5 linked regions of the Sus scrofa genome follow. The protein of the gene in region 3 interacts with the protein of the main gene of each other region in a biochemical or structural test. Links are inferred from orthologs where the notes say so. Each region holds a gene or a part of one and is shown on either strand. Other genes may lie near its edges.

Region 1 (4,102 bases), on a different chromosome or scaffold from region 3:
TTTTAGGACTGCACCTGAGGCATATGGAGATTCCCAAGCTAGGGGTCGAATCAGAGCCGTAGCCGCTGGCCTCCACCACAGCCGCAGCAACCCAGGATCTGAGGCTAGTCTGCAATTTACACCATAGCTCAGGGCAACACCAGATTGTTAACCCACTGAGCAAGGCCAGGGATCAAACCTGCGTCCTCATGATGCTAGTCAGATTTGTTTCCGCTGAGCCACGATGGGAACTCCCATCCCTTTAAGTTTTACTGACTTCCACAAACCCCACCATGAAAAAAGTGAGTGTGACTCAGCAGGTCTGACTTTCTACCTACAGAGCCCTACTTGGGAGGATTCATAGGGTGACATACCCGCCTGCTTACCTTCTTCTAAGGCACCTCCTCCCCCAACAACCCCCTTCCCCTAGGCACTTTGAACAGGTCACTTCGGTTACATAAAAGAGTGTTTCTTGGCTCCTGGGGGTGGGGTAGGGTGGGGGCTGTTGATGTAATCCCTGGGCTGCCCATGAGGCCAACAGACCTGAGATCTTTCAGGCCATTGGGCACCATTTGCTGAGCTGAACCTTGAGCTGACAAGTGGGGATGGATGGGGAGTACCGATGGGGAGTCCTTAGGGCTTCAGTGAACATTTGGTGGCCACTGAGGCTCCAGGAAGCCTTAGCAGACCCCCCAGCAAGGTGGGGATGGGAAGATCCTGTGCTCTTCTGGCATCTCTCAACCCTACCCCCTATTAAACTGGAAGCTCCTCTGGTGCTCAGGTTTGAGTTGAGTGTCTGTGCTTTAACCCAGTAAAGGGCCATTAGGGGGGATGCTGGGGGCGGCGTAGTGGGCTGCCACCTGAGAAACTGGTGGCAAGAGCGGGCCCTTGACAAGAGTGGCAAGGTCAAGACAGCGCCTCGGGAGCCAATTTGTTGTAGCTAGCAGTGTCAGCAGTGTCCCCTCTTCCTGGCTTCCAGCCTCTGTTGCCCACCTCCCTCCTGAGCTGTGCATCCCCGGTGGCCTGGGTTCCGTTTTGCTGAGTCACGGCCTGGTCAGGCCTGGGAGGGGTCTAGGGCGGGACCCTGGCCGGTCCCTTGCCCCAGGTATAGAGGTAGGCGCCAGACTTAGATGTCAGCGTGCGGGGCCGGCCTCTTGGTGTCCCTGGTGCACTTGGGGCGGTGAGGAGAGGGGTCGGGAATGAGGGGGCTCAACGGCGGGGAGAGGTAGCGAGGCTGGGGCTCCTGTAGGGCGGCTCTCGCGCGACGGCCGGGGTGGCTGGAGCCAGACCTCTGACACTCAGGCCCCGCCCCCAGGAAGCGATGAGGGGCGGGGCTTCACCCGCGTTCCCTACAAAGGCCGCGCGTCCCCTCCCGCTGCCGCCGCCGCCGCCGCTACCACCGCCGGGCTCTTCTCTTGCTCCCCAACTGGTGGTCATGGCGTCGCTCACCGTGAAGGCCTACCTTCTGGGCAAGGAGGATGCGGCCCGCGAGATTCGCCGCTTCAGCTTCTGTTTCAGCCCGGAGCCCGAGGCGGAAGCCGAGGCCGCGGCTGGCCCCGGACCTTGCGAGCGGCTGTTGAGCCGGGTGGCCGCCCTGTTCCCCGTGCTACGGCCCGGCGGCTTCCAGGCGCACTACCGCGGTGAGCAGGCCGGGCGCTCTCGGGGAGCGGTGCGGGGCCGTGACGCAGTGCTGCCCTGCCGGGCAGGGTCGCTGCTCCCTTCCTTCTCGTGGGGCTTGGGGCCGCCTGCGGGAGTTTGATCGCTCGTTGGGTGGGCGGTGGCCCGCGTGGGTTCCCATTTCGGCCTTGGGTGCCATTCTGGTAGCCAGGAGTGGTGACCACAGCCAGACCTGTGGGGTCAGGCGCTGCCAGTCCCCTAGCGGATCGGGCCCGGCGACGTAAGAGGCCTCCCCTCCCCCCACCATGATGGTGCAGATCTTGGGGAGGGCGCGCGGGGGCGTCCTCACGGCGGGCACGGGGTGGTTAGAGGGGCACTCGGGTTACACTGCCACTTGGCTACTGCCCAGCTGGGGCCCGCTAGCCCCAGATGGGGGGTTCGGATAGTAACCCGGAAGAGCCTGGGCGGGCAGATGAGGGGGAAGGGCTGGCTACGCAGAAAAGTGACGAGGGTAAATAAGCAGTGGGGAGCCCTCAGGGCTGCACAGTCTGGCCGGAGGTGGGGAGGAGAGACCATAGGTTGCCCAAGGCCAGGCGGGATCCAGACGTTATCCCGTTGGCAGCGGACAGAGGGACAAGGTGAAAACATTCTCGAGAAGTGTTGGTGTAGGGACAGAGCTCACGAGCCTGCCTAGTTTCTAGCTGAGCTGGCGTGACCGGTGGCTGCGCGGGGTGGAGTTGGGGGAGGTTGTTGTGACTGGGAGGGAGGCGGGCGGACCAGGCCCGCCGGTGGGTGGGGCCGTGCCGGGACCTCCCTCAGGACTGCTGCCAGCTCGCCAGCCCCTAGCTTTTTCAAAAAAATAACTTTGAGTTCCTGTTCACATACTGTAGTTTAAAGTGTTGAGTTTTTAGTATATTCACAGATTTGCGCAGCCATTATCACAATCATCTGGGAACATTTTCATCACTTTATACACCAACTCTGTTAGCTTCCTCCCATCCCCATCATCCTATCCTCCAATCCCCAAGCGACCCCTAATCTCTATGGATTCCCCTATTCTGGACATTTCATGTAAAAATATGTAGTCTTGTAACTGGCATCTCTTATTTACATACTATTTTCAAGGTTTACTTATGTTGTAGTATGTATCAGTACTTAATTCCTTTTTGTGGATGAATAATATTGTCTTATGGTCATGCCACATCTTGTTTAGCCATTCATTAGCTGATGGGTGTTTAGGTTGTTTCTGCCTTTTTTTTTTTTTTTTTTTTTTGTCTTTAGGGTCACACCGGAGGCATATGGAAGTTCCCAGGCTGAGGGTTGAATCAGAGCTGCAGCTGCCGGCCTACGCCACAGCCACAGCAACACCAGATCTGAGCTGTGTCTGCCACTTACACCACAGCTCATGGCAACGCCAGATCCTTAACCCACTGAGCGAGGCCAGGGATTGAACCCACATCCTCATGGATACTAGTCGGGTTTATTTCTGCTGAGCCACAACGGGAACTCCCTATTTCTGCTTTTTGACACAGTCCCTGATTTTATGGTAGATGTTGTGTTTGGTGGTCCATAGACCTGACCTGGCTTGCACATGTATTGTGTGGTTGGTTCTGTGTGGTGGTGCTTTAAATCATTTCAGCTGACATCTAAAAGTTGGAGGCTTCATACAAAGACATAATTTTAGCTTCGTTGGGGAGGAAGCAGGAAGATATATTCTACTTTCCTAAGCCACAAGAGGTCCAAGAATTTTGGAGGGGCTGGAACGCCAAGGAGCCAGTTGCAGATGGGGACCTCCCACAGTTGACAGGGTCTGGTTGGATGTAGATGGAGACAGCACCTTTCTGACAGAGCAGCTGGCCCAGAGGCAGAGTGGCAGGTGGCTGGGTGCTACCACTGCTGCCCACTGCACACAGGCACTCCACCTCCCAAGTGTGCCTGGGCCCAGCTTGGAGTGCTCACCTTCCAGGCAGTGGCAGGGTGAATGAGAAGTTCGGCCCCAGCCCTGCTTGCCCCTGGCTCACCCAGGTGGGCGTCAGTTTATAGCCCTGCACAGGCCCCTTTGGCACTGGCCTCAGTCCTTTCAGCAGCTTGTGTCCAACTGGGTGTTGATGCGCTGTCTTTTAAACATTCTAGATGAGGACGGGGACTTGGTTGCCTTTTCCAGTGACGAGGAACTGACGATGGCGATGTCGTATGTGAAGGATGACATCTTCCGTATTTACATTAAAGGTAAGGGGCTGCTCTGTGCTGAGTCAAACCAGCTTGAGGTCATGGAGAAGTTGCTCCAAAGAAGGGGTGAGGAGACTATGGGCCGTTTAAGGCAGGGCCGGGATCGTCTCTGAGGAAGGGTCCGTGTCCACCATGGTGGGGAGGTCAGAGGGTCTTTGGGTTCCCTCTTTATTGTGCCTGCGGGCCAGCTTTGGGGTTGATTTTAGTGCCGGACAAGTCTAAAATGGTGCAGACGCAACTCCCTGCTGCCTCACGCCGGCCAGGCTGCACATGCCCA
Region 2 (3,512 bases), on a different chromosome or scaffold from region 3:
GGCTGCGTGTAAAGGAGCAGCGGAAGGGGGTTGAGTCCGAAGTCAGTAAGAAGGCTTTGTGGGTGCCGCGCTGGCTGAGGGCGATGCCGGTGGGCCACTCTGGAGCCTGTCCCCTGGCCCCTGGGAAAAGGAGGAGATGGGTCCCCAAGAGCCCCTTTTGCTCTTGTCCCTCTGCAGCTGAACGAGGGCCGCACCCTGGACATGGATCTCGTCTTCCTCTTTGACAACAGCAGAGTCACCTATGACACCCAGATCTCCCCACGGCCCCAGCCCGAAAGCGTCAGCTGCATCCGTAAGAATGGCATGGCCTTTGAAAAAAATAGTCACTTAGAGTGCTTGAGATAAGCCCTGGACCTCGGGACTCCCCCACGCCAGAAGATGGGAGTTCCCATTGTGGTGCAGCAGAAATGAATCCAACTAGTATCCATGAGGATATGGGTATGATCCCTGGCCTCACTCAGTGGGTCAGGGATCCAGAAGGCCTTCTTTGTTAGAACACATGAGGAGGTGGCCCAGCGAAGAGGAAAGGACATCGATCTTCAGTTGATTTCAGCCTCATTTAAACAGAGGACAGGGAGTTCCTGTCATGGCTCAGTGGTTAACGAATCCGACTAGAACCAGGAGGTTGCAGATTTGATCCCTGCCCTTGCTCAGTGGGTTAACGATCCGGCATTGCTGTGAGCTGTGGTGTAGGTCGCAGACGAGGCTCGGATCCTGCGTTGCTGTGGCTCTGGCGTAGGCCGGTGGCTACAGCTCCGATTAGACCCCTAGCCTGGGAACCTCCATATGCCACAGGAGCGGCCCTAGAAGAGGCAAAAAGACAAAACAAAAAACAAAACAAAACAAAAAAACAGAGGACAGAGAATACTGCCCACAGGCCGCTGAACTTGAATCACGTGGCCATTTTTTTAATTTGTTTTTTTTTCTTTTTAGGGCCGCACCCACTGCATGTGGACTTCCCAGGCTAGGGGTCTAATCGGAGCAGCAGCTGCTGGCCTACGCCAGAGCCACAGCAACCCGGAATCCACGCCATGTCTGAGACCTATGCCACAGCTCATGGCAGTTCTGGATCCCTGACCCACTGAGCGAGGCCAGGGATCATACCCATATCCTCATGGATACTAGTTGGATTCATTTCTGCTGCGCCACAATGGGAACTCCCATTTTATATTTTAATGATGAAACATTCACGTGATACCAACAAATCAAAACGCACAGAACATACAGTGAGAGTTCCTGCTGTGGTGCCATGGGTTAAAGATTTGGCTTGTCTTTGTGAAGACACAGGTTCAATCCTAGCCCGGGCGTTGCTGCAGCTGTGATTTAGGTCAGCTCCCACTCAGATTCGACCCCTGGCCTGGGGATTTCATATGCCAAAAAAGAAAAAAAAAGAATATACACTGAACAGTAAGCCCCCCCACCTCCTGCCCAGTCTCCCCAGTTCCGTGGCCTCTTCCAGGAAAACCGCTGCTCCCAGATTCCTGGTCTACCTTCCGCATGTCCTGTGCATCTGTAAATCAAAATGGCACAGGGCACAGGGTGTCTGAGACAGTAACCAAGCCTAATACCCGACACAGTCGTGTCAGGGCAGAGCGGTTACATAACCTAGCGATGTAGACGTGGCAGTGGCCGGGCTCCGCAGGCAGGATGCGGTGTGTCACCGGCATGGCTCCCTGACAGTCATGTGTCTCTGTCCAGTGCAAGAGCCCAAGCGGAACCTCCCGTTTTTCCAGCTGAGGAAGGTGTGGGGCCAGGTCTGGCACAGCATCCAGGCCCTGAAGGAAGACTGCAGCCGCCTGCAGCAGGGACAGCGTGCTGCCATGTACGTGCCCACGGTTTGGGCTTTGCTTATTCAGAGCTGCCTGGTGGCCCTGCCACAGGGCAATGGCCAAGGCAGGGGTCCAACTGTTGGGAGAGAGACATAGGGTGGGGGAGGTGGGAAGGGGTTGGCCCGGCGAGGGTCAGGGGGATGCTTGAGGAAGGCCCTGTGAGACCCAGTGGGGTGTGTGCACTCAGCACAGTCGCAGGAGTGTAAGTGGGGCCACCGGGAAGCCCTCGACAGTTTGGGTCATCAGCCCTCCCCTGCCGTCGTTCCAGGACTGGCTCGCTCTTTCCCCAGGATGTGGCTTCTCTGGGCCACTCTGTGTGTACTTTGCCTAGTTCCAGTTTTGAAGCAGAACCCCAGGCGTTGCTCAGAGCCAGGAAACTGACTTTATGGTTATAAGTGGCTGCTCTTATTATAATGATGCTAATTATAGCAGAGCCTGCTGGTGGTGTTCGGGTCATTTTGTTATTGTACGGGAAGTGGCGCTCAGATCCCACAGGCGCCCCAAGCTTCCGTTTCTCATGGCCGCTGCAGGATGAATCTGCTTCGGAACAACAGCTGCCTGTCCAAGATGAAGAACTCCATGGCCTCCATGTCCCAGCAGCTCAAGGCCAAGCTTGATTTCTTCAAAACCAGCATCCAGATTGACCTGGAGAAGTACAGCGAGCAGACAGAGTTTGGGATCAGTGAGTGTGCCCTTTACAATAAGTCTGGAGGGGAGTTCCTGTTGTGGCACAGTGGAAACAAAAGTGACTGCTATCCATGAGGACGAGGGTTCGATCCCTGGCCTCGCTCAGTGGGTTAAGGATCCAGTGTTGCCGTGAGTTCTTGAGCAAGTCATAGACGCAGCTAGGATCCCACACTGCTGTGGCTGTGGCCTAGGCTGGTAGCTATAGAGCTCATTCGACCACTAGCCTGGGAACTTCCATGTGCCTCAGGTATGGCCCTAAAAAAAAAAAAAAAGTCTGGAGGGACAGTCTCTTTCTTTTTTCTTTTTCTGAGGTTTCTTTTGTCCTCTCCTATTTGAGTTGCTTATCTCTGTTTTGGATTGTGGGGGTGGGGGTGTTTTCATTTTGTTTTTCATTTTTCCCTCCTTTTTTCCCCCAGCATCGGACAAACTGCTGCTGGCCTGGAGGGAGATGGAACAGGCCGTGGAGCTCTGCGGACGGGTAGGCAGGGCCCCCAGGTCCGAGGCCCTGCCCAGGGTACCAGGCTCTTCACTGCCATCTTCCTCTTTCTCACTGAACCCTGGGTCGAGCTTGCATATCAGAAATTAGCTTTTCCAGAGTTCCCAGTGTGGCTCAGTGGTAACCAACCTGACTAGTATCCATGAGGACTCAGGTTCGATCCCTGGCTCTGCTCAGTGGGTTAAGAATCCAGAGTTAGGAGTTCCCGTCGTGGTGCAGTGGTTAACGAATCCGACTAGGAACCATGAGGTTGCAGGTTCGGTCCCTGCCCTTGCTCAGTGGGTTGACAATCCGGCGTTGCCGTGAGCTGTGGTGTGGGTCGCAGACACGGCTTGGATCCCGCATTGCTGTGGCTCTGGCTAGGCTGGCGGCTACAGCTCCGATTAGACCCCTAGCCTGGGAACCTCCATATGCCGCAGGAGCGGCCCAAGAAATAGCAAAAAGACAAAAAAAAAAAAAAAAGAAATCCAGAGTTGCTGTGAGCTGTGGTGTAGGTCACA
Region 3 (4,057 bases):
TCCTGTGACAATAACTCAACTGCTAAGTCGCTGCGTGGCTTAAAGCAAACAACCTGACACAGCAGTATTAACCCTAACCCTAACCAGTAGGCGGAAGCCACCCACCCCAAGCATCCGTCGACAGATAACCGGATAATCAAAATGAATACTCAGACGCTGGAATATCGCTCAGCCTTAAAAGGAAGGCAGTCCTGTCACCGGCTCCGGTGGATGAACCTTGAGGATCTCAGGTTATGTGAAATACACCAGTCACAAAGGGACAAATACGGTAGGATGCCACTTACGTAAGGCACCGAAAACGTCAAACTCACAGAGACAGAGAACAGAATGGTGGTTGCCAGGGGCTGAGGGGAGGGAGGAATGGGAAACTATTGTTTAATGGGGGCAGAGTTCACGTTTCGCAAGATCAAAGTTCTGTGTGTGGATAGTGTGACGGTCATACAATAATGTGAATGCATTTAATGCCACGCAACTAGACACTTACAAATGGCTAAGATGGTGAATGCTATGTGTATTTTGCTGCAAATTTTAAAATTGATAATAATAAACCTGAGAAAACCCCTAGCTCAGTGAGAAGTTTACAGTTGGTGCTCAATAAATGTCAGGCCCCTTCGTCCCACTCCCTGGTGTGATACCCACCTTGGAGAAATGCAGGAAAAAAATCCCTCTCTCCCCAATGTTAATTACCGCATCTCCTAAAAAGAATTTTTTCCTGAAGTAGGAGAGAGAAACTGGCCTTTTTTTTTTTTTTTTTTTTTTTTTTGCTTTTCAGGAACACACTTGTGGCATATGGAGGTTCCCAGGCTAGGGATCAAATAAGAGCTACAGGGGACGGCCTTCAACCACAGCCACAGCCACACCAGATCCCAGCGGCGCCTGAAACCTACACCACCGCTCACCGAAAGGTCAGATCCTTAACGCACTGAGCGAGGCCAGGGATGGAACCCACATCCTCATGGATCCTAGTCGGGTTGGTTAACCACTGAGCCATGAAGGGAACTCCCTAGAGACGGTGGCCTTTGTGGGAGAGCTCCCCCGAGCTCCTTCGGTCACCCCAAACTCCTTAAGGCAGCTCTGGGTGGCACGGTACGGAGGCTGGGGCTAAGCACCCGAGTCAAAGAGAGCAGCCTCTCCACGGAGCAGTCACACTACTTGAGGCCACTAGACAGAGAGACTTGGAAAGGAGCGCAAAGCAAGGACTGGATGCTGCGGAGCCTCTGAGCCATCCTAGCCCCGGGGCGCTGACACTGGCCGAAGCTCAACGCGCCCGCCTCCCGCCTTCCGCCTCCGCCCCTTCCCTCCCCTTCCTTTCAGACTTGCGCTCGACGGGAAATGCGGGAAATCGAAAGTGAAACTTGGAGCCAGCTATTATCTGCGGAGTCCCTTGAAAAGGTGAGTGGATTCACGAACTCGGTTAGACCCGGGTACCCCAGGCCTCCCCGGGGGACCGCTCTCCGCTGCCCCGGATCTGAAGAGCCCCTTGCAGCCGAGCTCTCTGCTGCCCCAGAGCCCTCTTGGGCGCAGGGTTCCCTCGACCCTAACCGGCGGTTTTCCCCGTGCTGCCGTCCGCCCGGGAGGAGGCTGGGCTGTGAACCGACTTCCAAGTCCTCCGGAGCCCAGGGCGGGGTAGGCCTGCCATCCCCGAGACGCCCATCCACAAAAGTCCCCTCTGGAAACGACAGGGGCAGGGTTGCTTAGGGTATTAGAAGTTTTGGGGTCTGTGCCCTGGAGGAAACAAAGACAGGTGCCTGCTTCAGGAAGCTGAGGGAACAGGTGGGGGAGTGCTCTTTAGACATGTGTGGGTGTGTGGGTGTGTCTGTGTGTGTGTACACACATAGGTATGTACACCTGCACATATGGATAAATATGTGCACGTGCAGATGTGTGTGTATATATATACTTATTTATATGTTCATATTGTGGGTGATAGATAGCTCCTTCCTGCCAAGTTTCAGGGATTAATGAGGAGGAATGTGAAGTATGTGCCTCCCGGCACGGGGGAAGGGGCATGGTAAGTGGTCGCTGCTATTAGGATTAGCTTCTCAGCAGAGCAAGAGGACCAGTGGCTGGAGATGGAAGATGGACGAGTAAGCCTGGGCGCCGAGGGTTTCAGCAGAGATAGACATGAAAGTGGAACTGTAAGCAGCTTGATCTCAGATTCCCAGCAATTTTTGCTATCTCTTTTGAGGACTCAGTTTCCCCTTCTGTCTGACTGGCTCATTGGACCAGACTCCGGAGGAGAAGCCCTTGTGACTCAGGTTGACGTCGTTGTTACCTTTGTTTTCAGCCCCTCCAGTTCACGCTCCCTCGAGGTCTCCTTTGAATTGTTCTGTTTTCCTCACACAGCTCTTCTCATCGCCTTCTTTCCTTTTCTCCCCTCCCCGCTAGGCCACCCCGAGATCTCCTCAGCGCTGCTTCATAGCCCGGCAGCACCATGGCCTCAGCACTGCCCTTGGCAAGGATGTGGGATGAGGTCACGTGCTCCATCTGCCTGGATCCCATGGTGGAGCCCGTGAGCATCGAATGTGGCCACAGCTTCTGCCAGGAATGCATCTCCGAGGTTGGGAAGGATGGGGGCAGCGTCTGTCCTGTGTGCCGGCAGCACTTCCTGCTCAGGAACCTCCGGCCCAATCGGCAGGTGGCCAACATGGTGGATAACCTCAAAGAGATGAGCCAGGGGGTCAAGGAAGGCCCGCAGTGGGAGCTGTGTGCGGTGCACGGAGAGAAGCTTCACCTGTTCTGTAAGGACGATGGGAAGGTCCTTTGCTGGGTGTGTTCCCAGTCCCGGAAACACCGGGACCACACCATGGTCCCCATTGAGGAGGCGGCTCAGGAGTACCAGGTGAGGCCTTAGCCCGGAGGCACCTGGGCACGAGCAGGCGGGAAGAAGGTGGGGCCCTGATAAGCGCTTTGTTCTCCCGGGCTGGGGGTGGGACCGAGTCACCTGTGGAGTTGAGGGGTTGGGGACAGGAAGGGGATCCCCTGCCTTCTATGTCCTATTTAAGGGAAGACCCACCATCTCGGCACGATTTTCCCACTGCCCAGGAGCAGGGCGTCTGTTGTGGGAAAAGGCTGCAAGGCCCATGCTTCTGTGTGGCCTCCTGGTTAATTAGGAACGAATGTGTCCCCACCCCCACCACGCCAACAGGGTACCTCTATTTCCTAAGAAACATCAGGCTTTTTCCAGAGTCTTCCCATCACAGAATGCCCACCCCGGTCAGAGGCTCACCCTTCCTCCTCCCCGCCTCAGGCTTTTCTAAGGACCAGTAGGATCCTCCTGGACCTTGTGCCCCCCCACCCTACTTTTTGGTCTGACTGGGCATTACCCGCTGTCTTTCTCTGCAGGAGAAGCTCCAGGTGGCACTCGAGAAACTCAGAAATAAACAGGAGCAGGCTGAGAAGCTGGAAGCGGATATTGCAACGAAGAGAGCAGCCTGGAAGGCAAGGGGCACGTCCTGAAGGGCACTTTAGATCAGAAGCCTGGGGAGGGTCCAGGGTCCTGGCCTCGAGAGCTCTGTGCATAGCTATGCCCGTCAGGAGACTGGGAGTCCCCATGTGTCAGTCTCCAAAAACCAGCCGTGCCCTGGGTCTCCTGAGAGAAGGGAGCAGGAAAGCACGGTGCCCAAAAGGCGGGCACTCCAGTCAGACGCAAAGACAGGGGGTCTTGGGGAGAATGCACGGGGACAAGACGGACCCCAAAGCTCCTGTTCCTGGAGCCCGGTCTCAGGCGATGACAGCACAGGGCCCGTGTCTGCAACAGAGGAGTCCCAGGAAGGAATGCCCGGTGGCTCGGCCTGTCGGGACATGACAAGGGCTCTGAGGACAGACTTAAGGAGCCATCAAGGCCTGAGGGAGGAAAACCAGCCTGACCAGGGGTTTCTTGACGGCGTGCTGTTCCTGGTGCAAGGTGTCGCGGGAGCTACGGCCTGTTCTGCTCCAGGGCTTGGGCAGCAGTGGGTCAGGAACTAGAGACAGTGGGAGGAGCTCATGGACCCGGGAAGGGTGAGTCAGGCTGTGGCGGCAAGAGAGGTCATCTCGTGTCATCACGTCCCTCTCT
Region 4 (4,301 bases), on a different chromosome or scaffold from region 3:
CGCAACCTCATGGTTCCCAGTCGGATTCGTTAACCACTGAGCCACAACGGGAACTCCCCTCTTCGTTTCTTATTCAGGTTTCTGACCTGTATCATTTTCCTTCTCTCTGAAGAATCTCTTTGAACATTTCTTTCAAGGTATGTCTTTTGGAAACAAATTCTCTCAGTTTTTGTTTGTATGAGAAAGTCTAAATTTATCTTTCACTTTTGAAGAATAATTTTGTAGGGTACAGAATTCAGGTTGATTTTTTTTCCCCTTCTGAACACTTTAAATTTCACTCTGCTCCACTTCCATGGTTTCTGAGAAGTTGCATGTAATTTTCATCTTTGCTCTACTATAAGTAAGGCTTTTTTCCTCTCCTCTGGCTTCTTTCGAGATTTTTCTTTATTTTTGATCTTCTGTAGTTTGAATATGATATGCCTAGGTGTAGTGTTTTTTGGAACTATTCATGATTGATGTCTCTGACATTAGCATTTTACATTAATTTAAAGAAAATTGCTGTCCTTATTGCTTCAAATATTTCTCCTATTACTTTCTCTTCCTGGTATTCCCATTATACATATGTAACACTTTTTTATAGTTGTCTCACAGTTCTTAGATATTATCTTTTGGGTTTTTTTTCCATTTTTTTTTTCCCTCTTTGCATCTCTGTTTTGGAAGTTTCTATTAACATTTCCTTAAGCTCAGAAATTCTTTCCTCAGCTGTGTCCAGCCTACTGATTAGCCCATCAAATGCATTTTTTTATTTCTGTTACAGTGTTTTGGTTCCAGCATTTCTTTTTGGTACTTTCTAAGAATTTCCATCTCTCTGCAGACATTGCCCATCTGTTCTTGCATGTTGTCTATTTTTTCCATTAGCCCTTTGCATATTCATCATATTTATTTTACATTCCTGGTGTAATAATTCTAACAACATTCTTGCCATATCTGAATCTATTCCACTTTATTATTATGTAATGCTCCTCTATATCTCTGATAACTTTTATTGCTCTGAAGTCTGCTCTGTCTAAAATTAGTAGAGTTACTCCTGAATTTTTTTGACTGGTGTTAGCATGGCATATCTTTCTCCATGCCTTTATTTTTAATTTACGTATGTCTTTATTTATATATGCATGCATTTGGTCACACCTACAGCATGTGGATGTTCCTGGGCCAGGGATTGAACATTGCTCTGGCTCTTCAAATGGTGTCTGTCTTTTGCCTTTTAGTATGCCTTACAAGTTTTTCTTGAAAGATGGACTTGTACTGAGTAAAAGGAACTGCAGTAAATAGGCCTTTAATGATGTGGTGGTTAGGTGTGGGGGAAGGGAAAATGTTTTATAGTTTTATGATTAGGTGTCAGTCTTTTGATGAGCCTGTGCTGCTGGGCTGTGAACGTCACACGTGCTTCTCTGTTGTTGTGGGTTTTTTTTTTTTTTTGCCCCACTCCCCCCCCTTAATTGGAACAAGATGCCTAGAGGAGCAGGAGTTGCGTATTTCGCTTCCCCAGTGTAAGAATAGAGCCAGCTGGGGCTGGGCATTTCCCTTCCCCTAGGTCAGTTAGGCACAGATAAAATCCCAGCAGGTTAGGCCCTAGAAAATAGCTTCTCCTGCAGGCGGACCTTGTTAAGAAGTGAGTGCTCTGGCACATTTCAAGGTGGTTCCTCTTCGGCTCCTTCTTCAGGAAACACAAGAAGATTTTCCTCTCAGATCTCCACTGTGAGAGTCTAGTAGGGCTCCTAGAGGCAAAGCTCACAAAGTGTGGATTCCTCTGGAATATTTAATTCTCCGATTTGTCTACTCTGCGGCTCCAGCCACCTGTCAAATACAGTTCAGCTTTCCTGACTGCGGCACTGGTTCCTGAGGAGGTTTCTGCTTGTGGGTTTCCGCTCTGGTAAGTTGTGATTTTCTGTGTCTCCCTGTCTCTCTAATGTGAGGGCCCGAGATTTGCCCTGAGACCTTCGTTCTCTCATGGATTTAAGAGTGGGTGATTTTTCAGTTTGTTCGGCTTTTTCTTGTTTTTAGAATGGAGGAATGACTTTCAAGCTCCTTCCAGGCCAGACCAGGAACTGCACCCCTTTTCCTTTTTATAAAATGATACCTGAGTGATATTTTCTGATCCAGTGTAGAATTTAGTGAAAACGTCTACATTCTGGTCATTGTTGCTATATTATTCCCTTCCGTTAATCCTTTTGGGCTATAATTGTTTCCCCAAATACTTTTTAGCTGTTAACAGTCTAGTTCTTTCCTCTGTTTGTTTTTCTTCAATTCCACTCCCACTCTGTCTTGGAGTGCTAACAACCAGTACCACCCATGTGTGCCAGTTGGGTCAACATTTAAACAAGGATGTACTGTTTACACTGTTGTTTCTAACATTCTGGTTGCAAACACCGCTTTGTGCTTTGTGAATTGAATTGGTGACAGGTGAAACTTAGGCTGATGGCAGAGAATTTGGGGTTATAAATGATGGTTCGAAGCTAGATTTATTTCGTTTTCTCTAAACCTATTAAATCTGTCCAGGTTGAAGCTCACTTGTATTGTATGCACTCACATTACGTAGAGAAATGGCTTTCAGCCTTGCCTTTGTAATAGATTCACTGGCTCTATTTCTATTTAATTGGTCTAGATGGGTCCTGGTATCAGTATTTCTGAAAGTTCCTTGAGTAATTCTACCATGCAATTTGAGGTAAGTCCATTGGTCTGTAGCAATGGTCAGCAAAACTTTTCTTTAAGGAGCGGAGAGTAAATATTTTAGGCTTTGAAGATCATTTGAAGATCATATATTCTCTACTGTAATTACTCAGCTCTCATGTAGCCGCCACAGGCAAATGGGCATGGCTATGCTCTAACAACTTCCTTTCTAGAGACCAAAATTCTAATTCATATACTTTTCATGTGTCATGAAATATTCTTATTCATTTGATGTTTTTTTTCAACTATTAAAAAATATAGGAGTTCCCGTTGTGACTTGGCAGTTAACAAACCTGACTAGGATCCATGAGGATCCCTGGCCTTGCTCTGTGGGTTAAGGATTCGGCGTTGCCATGAGCTGTGGTGTAGGTCTCAGACACGGCACAGATCTGACATTGCTGTGGCTGTGGTGTAAACCAGCAGCTGTAGCTCTGATTCAACCCCTAGCCTGGGAACCTCCATATGCTGCGAGCGCAGCCCTAGGAAGAACAAAAAAAAAAAGTACAGATTGGTTTTGTCTTACAGGATTTACGATAACAGTCTGCAAGTGGGATTTGGCCTAGGGACTGTTGTTTGGCAGTTCCTAGTTAATGGTTTATTTTCTTCACTGCTTCAATTTGGTTCCAAAAGAGAAAATGTTTCCTTAGTTACATCACTGATAATATCTTCAATGAATCCCAGAACTGACTACTTATTTTAAGTCAGTTTATCAGAACATTTTTAAACATGGCAATGCATTTCCTTATTAGGCTCTGAAGTTGTGGCCATTGAGATGCTTTTATCTATGAGTAACAAGCATGGCTTAAAAGGCTTTCAACAGTAGGAAAGGTATTATCTCATTAAAATAGAGAGAATTGCAGGGCTATTGTTATTTGAAAATGTCATCAGCCCAGATGTTTTCCATCTTTCATTCTACTATCCTCAATATTAGTCCTGCCTGATGTCTTGCCTCATGGTGGCAAGATGGCTGTAGTAGCCCTGGGCATCACATGCAGACTCACAACATCCAAAAAAAACAAAGAATAATTCCTTCCTTGAATTTATTTTGAATGTGGGGCAGTCTATTTTTAGACCAAGGCCCTCCTCCTATGTAAATCTCCCCTTAAGTCTCAAGGACCAAATCAGGCCCTGGTGAAGGAATTGAGATTACCATGATTACCTATCATGATGCTTGCCTTGGCTTCAGGATCTGGTCTGCCTTTCACAGGTGGCCCCAGGATCCCAGAATCAAATCAGGGTTCTGATAGCAAAGGAAGAGGAAGAAATGGCAGTGGGGCAAAAAAAAAAAAAAGTCTCACACAGAACTAGATTGTTAGGATTAAAAAAAATAAGGCGGCTGTCTCCTAAACTCCTCATTTCCATTTGTTTATTTACTTCCTTTAAAAGACCATTAGACAATTGTTGAGTACAATTTTCCTGAAAGATAGCTTATTGATTTTTCACTCAAGTAGGTTACATTTTGCTTCAGCCTTCAAAGACATTTCTATTACTCCCTTCAGATTACATTTAAAAAGGAATGTATCCGATTTTGGCTTACTTTGTTCTTTTTCTAAACCTGTACCACGTTGTGTGTGTAGCATAAAAATGTCCATGTCAAAAAAGGTTTAAAAAGAGTCATCACTTTTTTCTTT
Region 5 (3,512 bases), on a different chromosome or scaffold from region 3:
TAAGCATAATGTGAATGTCCTCTGGGCTTCTCTGTCCCTTTTTCTCTATGTTCCGTTCATTTGACTAAGGAACCTGGCTGATCTGCTAAGATATCTTTGAATGTTAGGAAACTAGGAACAGAGTGCTTTGCTTGATCAGGTTTCTTCCTAAATCAGCCTGGAGAGCTTGGCCAGAACAAAAGGTATGACCAACCAGTTTTAGTGTCCAGCCCCGTTGATGGTTTATTGTATGCTTAGTCTTCTGGCTTTATTTTCTTTTATCTCTAAAGAAAGATAACAAGGACGTTGGCAATCTGTATAATTTTAATAATTTTAGCATTTCTTTAAAGGTAGTAGTGAAAGGCTTTAAGATAGCCTAGCTTCTGTGGTGATGCCTAAGTAGAAAGGCAGTGTTGATGCAGAAGACTTGCTGGCTACTCATCTGGATCTCACCATACACTGTTTCTGGAGGGACACCTCTGCCCTCCATGATACCTGCTCCTTCCAGCTCATTTCCTACCTTTTGCAGAGCACCCTTGTCACCCCTCCCATTTTTCCTTTGCAGTACCGCGTAATTGTGCCGCTAATGGGTGCTGTATCTGATCTGTGCGAGGCTCTCTCCAGGTTGTCTGGCGTTGCTGCAGAAAACGTAAGGCGGGGTATTGAGTGGCACTCAACCTATTGGGAGCACTTCATAGTCCTTTGAAATTAATTTTCAACCTTTTAGCCACTTATTGGAGGGTAGTGATTATATTTGGATGCCCCAGACTTTCTGGCTCTCGTTCATTGTGCACACTGTGGCTGAGACTGTCCCTTCCAGCCCTGGGAACTGAGAACACATTAACCATTGGTCAGAGGGCCAGGAGTGGGGCTCTGCTCTCACATTGCCTCCCCTTTATACCTGACATCATTTGTAATGTGAGAAGCCGGAAGTTCTTTTCTGACTCAAACTCCGTAAGTCTGTGGAGTGACTTAATAGAAATGTTTCTTTAAAAACAATTGCTTATTCTGGCCTATCTCCTGAGCCTGGCCCTGTGTGGAGGTGGGAAAAGTGAAGATTTCCCTTTACATGAGAACCGATCCTCCTGGATTCCCCCAGCCCTGATCAATGAATGCCCTTCTCCCCACTCCCCTTGTACCCCTGCTAGTTTCAGTTGGTAGGTCTTGGTGGTTGGAGTTTGGTCTTTTCTGCTGTGTGCTGAGGATGTCTTGAGGACTTTTGCCCCCTGGGAATACCCTAAAGGCTTCTAGATGACTACTAGTCTCTGGTCAGCACTTATTCCCCATCATTCCTGCCCCTTGAGGGCAATTCCCATCATAAACCTTGGGACATAATCAACTGTAATTAAAAAATTAAAAAGACAAAGTAAACCCCAAAACCTTGGGATCAATGTACTAGCATGTTTGATGCTGGAGGCAGCCATGCTGCTCCCACCTTGGACCTTGGCCCCTGAACTCTGGGCTGGTTGTATTGCCATCTCTCTGGAGGCAACACTTCAGCAGCACATTTTTTTTTTCTTTCGTGCCTAAGTATTAAGTAGATGTTCTCTAATCAATCCCGTCACCTTTCTGTTACTGTTGATTTTTAGATGGTGGTCACAGATGTGTATAATCACCGGTTCCACAAAATTTTCCAAATGGATGAAGGTTTAAACCACATCATGCCTCGGGATGATATTTTTGTGTGAGTACTCAGTGGTTTCTGCTGCAGGGTCAAAAGAAACGTTTTAGAGTCTTTGCTGTGTTGGTGTCTCCAGAGCATATCTGGCAGTTGATGCTCATGTGGATTTGCTCCAACCCTTGGGTGCAAGAGATGAGTGTTCAGGGAATTGTGGGCAGCATTACCTACCGGCATTTCAGAACTAGACATTCCAGATAACACTCTTCAGCTGGAACAAGGCTTTTGTCAACAGTTGTTACATGTTAAGAAGGCCTATTCAGTGGTCCTGCAGATAGTCCTGCTGTCAGAAATGCTTTGCTCAAGAAGAATCACAGCTTTGGGAGGGGCCGTGGGAAGACAGGAAAAGGGCTGTGGTACAGGGAGGGTCTCATCCTTTCTCTAAGCTATAGGCAGGGGCTCCTCAGGCAGGTGCCATCTCAGAATGACAGGGAAGGTTGATTTAAGCTCTCATATCTGCAGTCTTTTGACACTTGGTTTTCTCATCCCTGTGCAGACAGTGTACTCCAACTCTAGCTGGTGTTCTCCAGTTCTTACTTCAGGGCTGCTTTGTGTGATTGTGTGTGTGTCCCTCTCCCAGGCGGGGTAGGGTGGAGTGTGAGCTTGCTCGAGCTCCCACACAGCCGCTTGTTCAGGGAAGCTTGCATATGGACCACCCCACACTGTCTCTCCTTCATTCCCTCTCACTCAGAAACTTGTCTCTGCTGAGAAAGGTTATTAGGATTTTGTTTTGGTTTTTAGTTTTGGCTGAGTAATGCAGGACACAAAGGAATCATTTCCTTCCCTTTATGTTTTTGGGACCTGTGACATCTAGGTCACTCTAAAAGATACAGTTCTTGACCACATCCAAGATCCTGGTTCTATTAACCAATGCATCGGCTGCCTCCCCATTCCCAGCCATACTCCCTCACTTTACAAACTAGACTCAGGCTCGGACTAGACTTCAGGGCTGAGCCTATCCACTTCTGACCCCCAAATCCTTAACACAGTCTTCCTCAATTCTGGAAACTAATGTTCACGTATACCTGAGCTGAGAAGAACTGGGGCATCATCTTTTTGGGAGCATGGCAAGCCACTGAGAACAGATTTTTCACAGGGCTTGAGGGATAAGCAGTAGGAAAGCAAATTGTTACGTGATGCATTGATAATTGTCTTATGAAAACACAATTGTTGCATCTAATACTTCTTGAGCATGTGATGTACTGTGCTCTGAGTTATTTAATTTTCACCACTACACTCTACGGAGGGTGATCCCATTGTCCACTAGGTAAACAGAAGTTAGGGCACTTGGCTTGGTCACAGTAGCCAGAAAGTGGCAGTATGGGCCTAGAACCTGGGTCAGCCTCACTCCAAGGCTTGGTTCTTGACCTTTATGCTGGACTCCAGCGTTCTTAATCTCGAGCACACCTTGGACATTTTTGTGAGATTTTCTTTGAACTCCTCATGCACATACTACAGTCAGAACTGTTTGCCAGGCAACTGGGGAGGGTTGTGTTTGTATTTGTGTTTATAGTTTTCAAAAATTGAATCAGTAAGTTTGTGTCTCCCCCTATAGGAAGAGGGAAAGACTACAGTCGGTTGCCAGCAATTTTGGTAACATCTGTTCCAGGATAAAACATCTATAAATCTCCTCAATCCCATGTATTCACTAAGTAAGACATATTTTTCAAAATCATTGATTTGTATTTAGAAATTCTTTGGTTATCTATGATTTTTTTAAAAATTAAATATGATTCTTTTACTTCAATGTTTTTGAACGAAGATGGCAAACAGTTTTATAAATTTGCTTCCTCATTTAAAATAAAGAGTTTTTGGCTTATATTCTAGGTATACATCCTTATAAATGAGAATGCCT

Evidence for each region.
Region 1: the proteins of TRIM21 (region 3) and SQSTM1 form a complex in vitro, tested with the Homo sapiens proteins (2 studies listed by BioGRID, with this or other methods). The link is inferred for Sus scrofa from reciprocal best matches to the Homo sapiens genes TRIM21 and SQSTM1.
Region 2: of the proteins of TRIM21 (region 3) and IKBKB, one has a biochemical effect on the other in vitro, tested with the Homo sapiens proteins (2 studies listed by BioGRID). The link is inferred for Sus scrofa from reciprocal best matches to the Homo sapiens genes TRIM21 and IKBKB.
Region 4: the proteins of TRIM21 (region 3) and ubiquitin-conjugating enzyme E2 N-like form a complex in vitro, tested with the Homo sapiens proteins (3 studies listed by BioGRID, with this or other methods). The link is inferred for Sus scrofa from reciprocal best matches to the Homo sapiens genes TRIM21 and UBE2N.
Region 5: of the proteins of TRIM21 (region 3) and USP4, one has a biochemical effect on the other in vitro, tested with the Homo sapiens proteins (2 studies listed by BioGRID). The link is inferred for Sus scrofa from reciprocal best matches to the Homo sapiens genes TRIM21 and USP4.

The regions. Positions count from the first base shown.
Region 1 is NC_010444.4:78,761,197-78,765,298, reverse strand, and holds the start of SQSTM1 (sequestosome-1), read left to right. Parts: upstream 1-1,300; coding exon 1,301-1,619; intron 1,620-3,729; coding exon 3,730-3,825; intron 3,826-4,102. UniProt on the Homo sapiens protein: Molecular adapter required for selective macroautophagy (aggrephagy) by acting as a bridge between polyubiquitinated proteins and autophagosomes.
Region 2 is NC_010459.5:11,331,828-11,335,339, forward strand, and holds part of IKBKB (inhibitor of nuclear factor kappa-B kinase subunit beta), read left to right. Parts: intron 1-177; coding exon 178-292; intron 293-1,698; coding exon 1,699-1,822; intron 1,823-2,359; coding exon 2,360-2,511; intron 2,512-2,932; coding exon 2,933-2,994; intron 2,995-3,512.
Region 3 is NC_010451.4:5,780,888-5,784,944, forward strand, and holds the start of TRIM21 (E3 ubiquitin-protein ligase TRIM21), read left to right. Parts: upstream 1-1,245; 5' UTR 1,246-1,392; intron 1,393-1,419; exon of another isoform or gene 1,420-1,626; intron 1,627-2,388; 5' UTR 2,389-2,434; coding exon 2,435-2,842; intron 2,843-3,345; coding exon 3,346-3,441; intron 3,442-4,057. UniProt on the Homo sapiens protein: E3 ubiquitin-protein ligase whose activity is dependent on E2 enzymes, UBE2D1, UBE2D2, UBE2E1 and UBE2E2.
Region 4 is NC_010443.5:26,024,307-26,028,607, forward strand, and holds the start of ubiquitin-conjugating enzyme E2 N-like, read left to right. Parts: upstream 1-1,501; 5' UTR 1,502-1,873; intron 1,874-4,301. UniProt on the Homo sapiens protein: The UBE2V1-UBE2N and UBE2V2-UBE2N heterodimers catalyze the synthesis of non-canonical 'Lys-63'-linked polyubiquitin chains. This type of polyubiquitination does not lead to protein degradation by the proteasome.
Region 5 is NC_010455.5:31,866,372-31,869,883, reverse strand, and holds part of USP4 (ubiquitin carboxyl-terminal hydrolase 4), read left to right. Parts: intron 1-544; coding exon 545-628; intron 629-1,568; coding exon 1,569-1,663; intron 1,664-3,212; coding exon of another isoform or gene 3,213-3,282; exon of another isoform or gene 3,283-3,309; intron 3,310-3,512.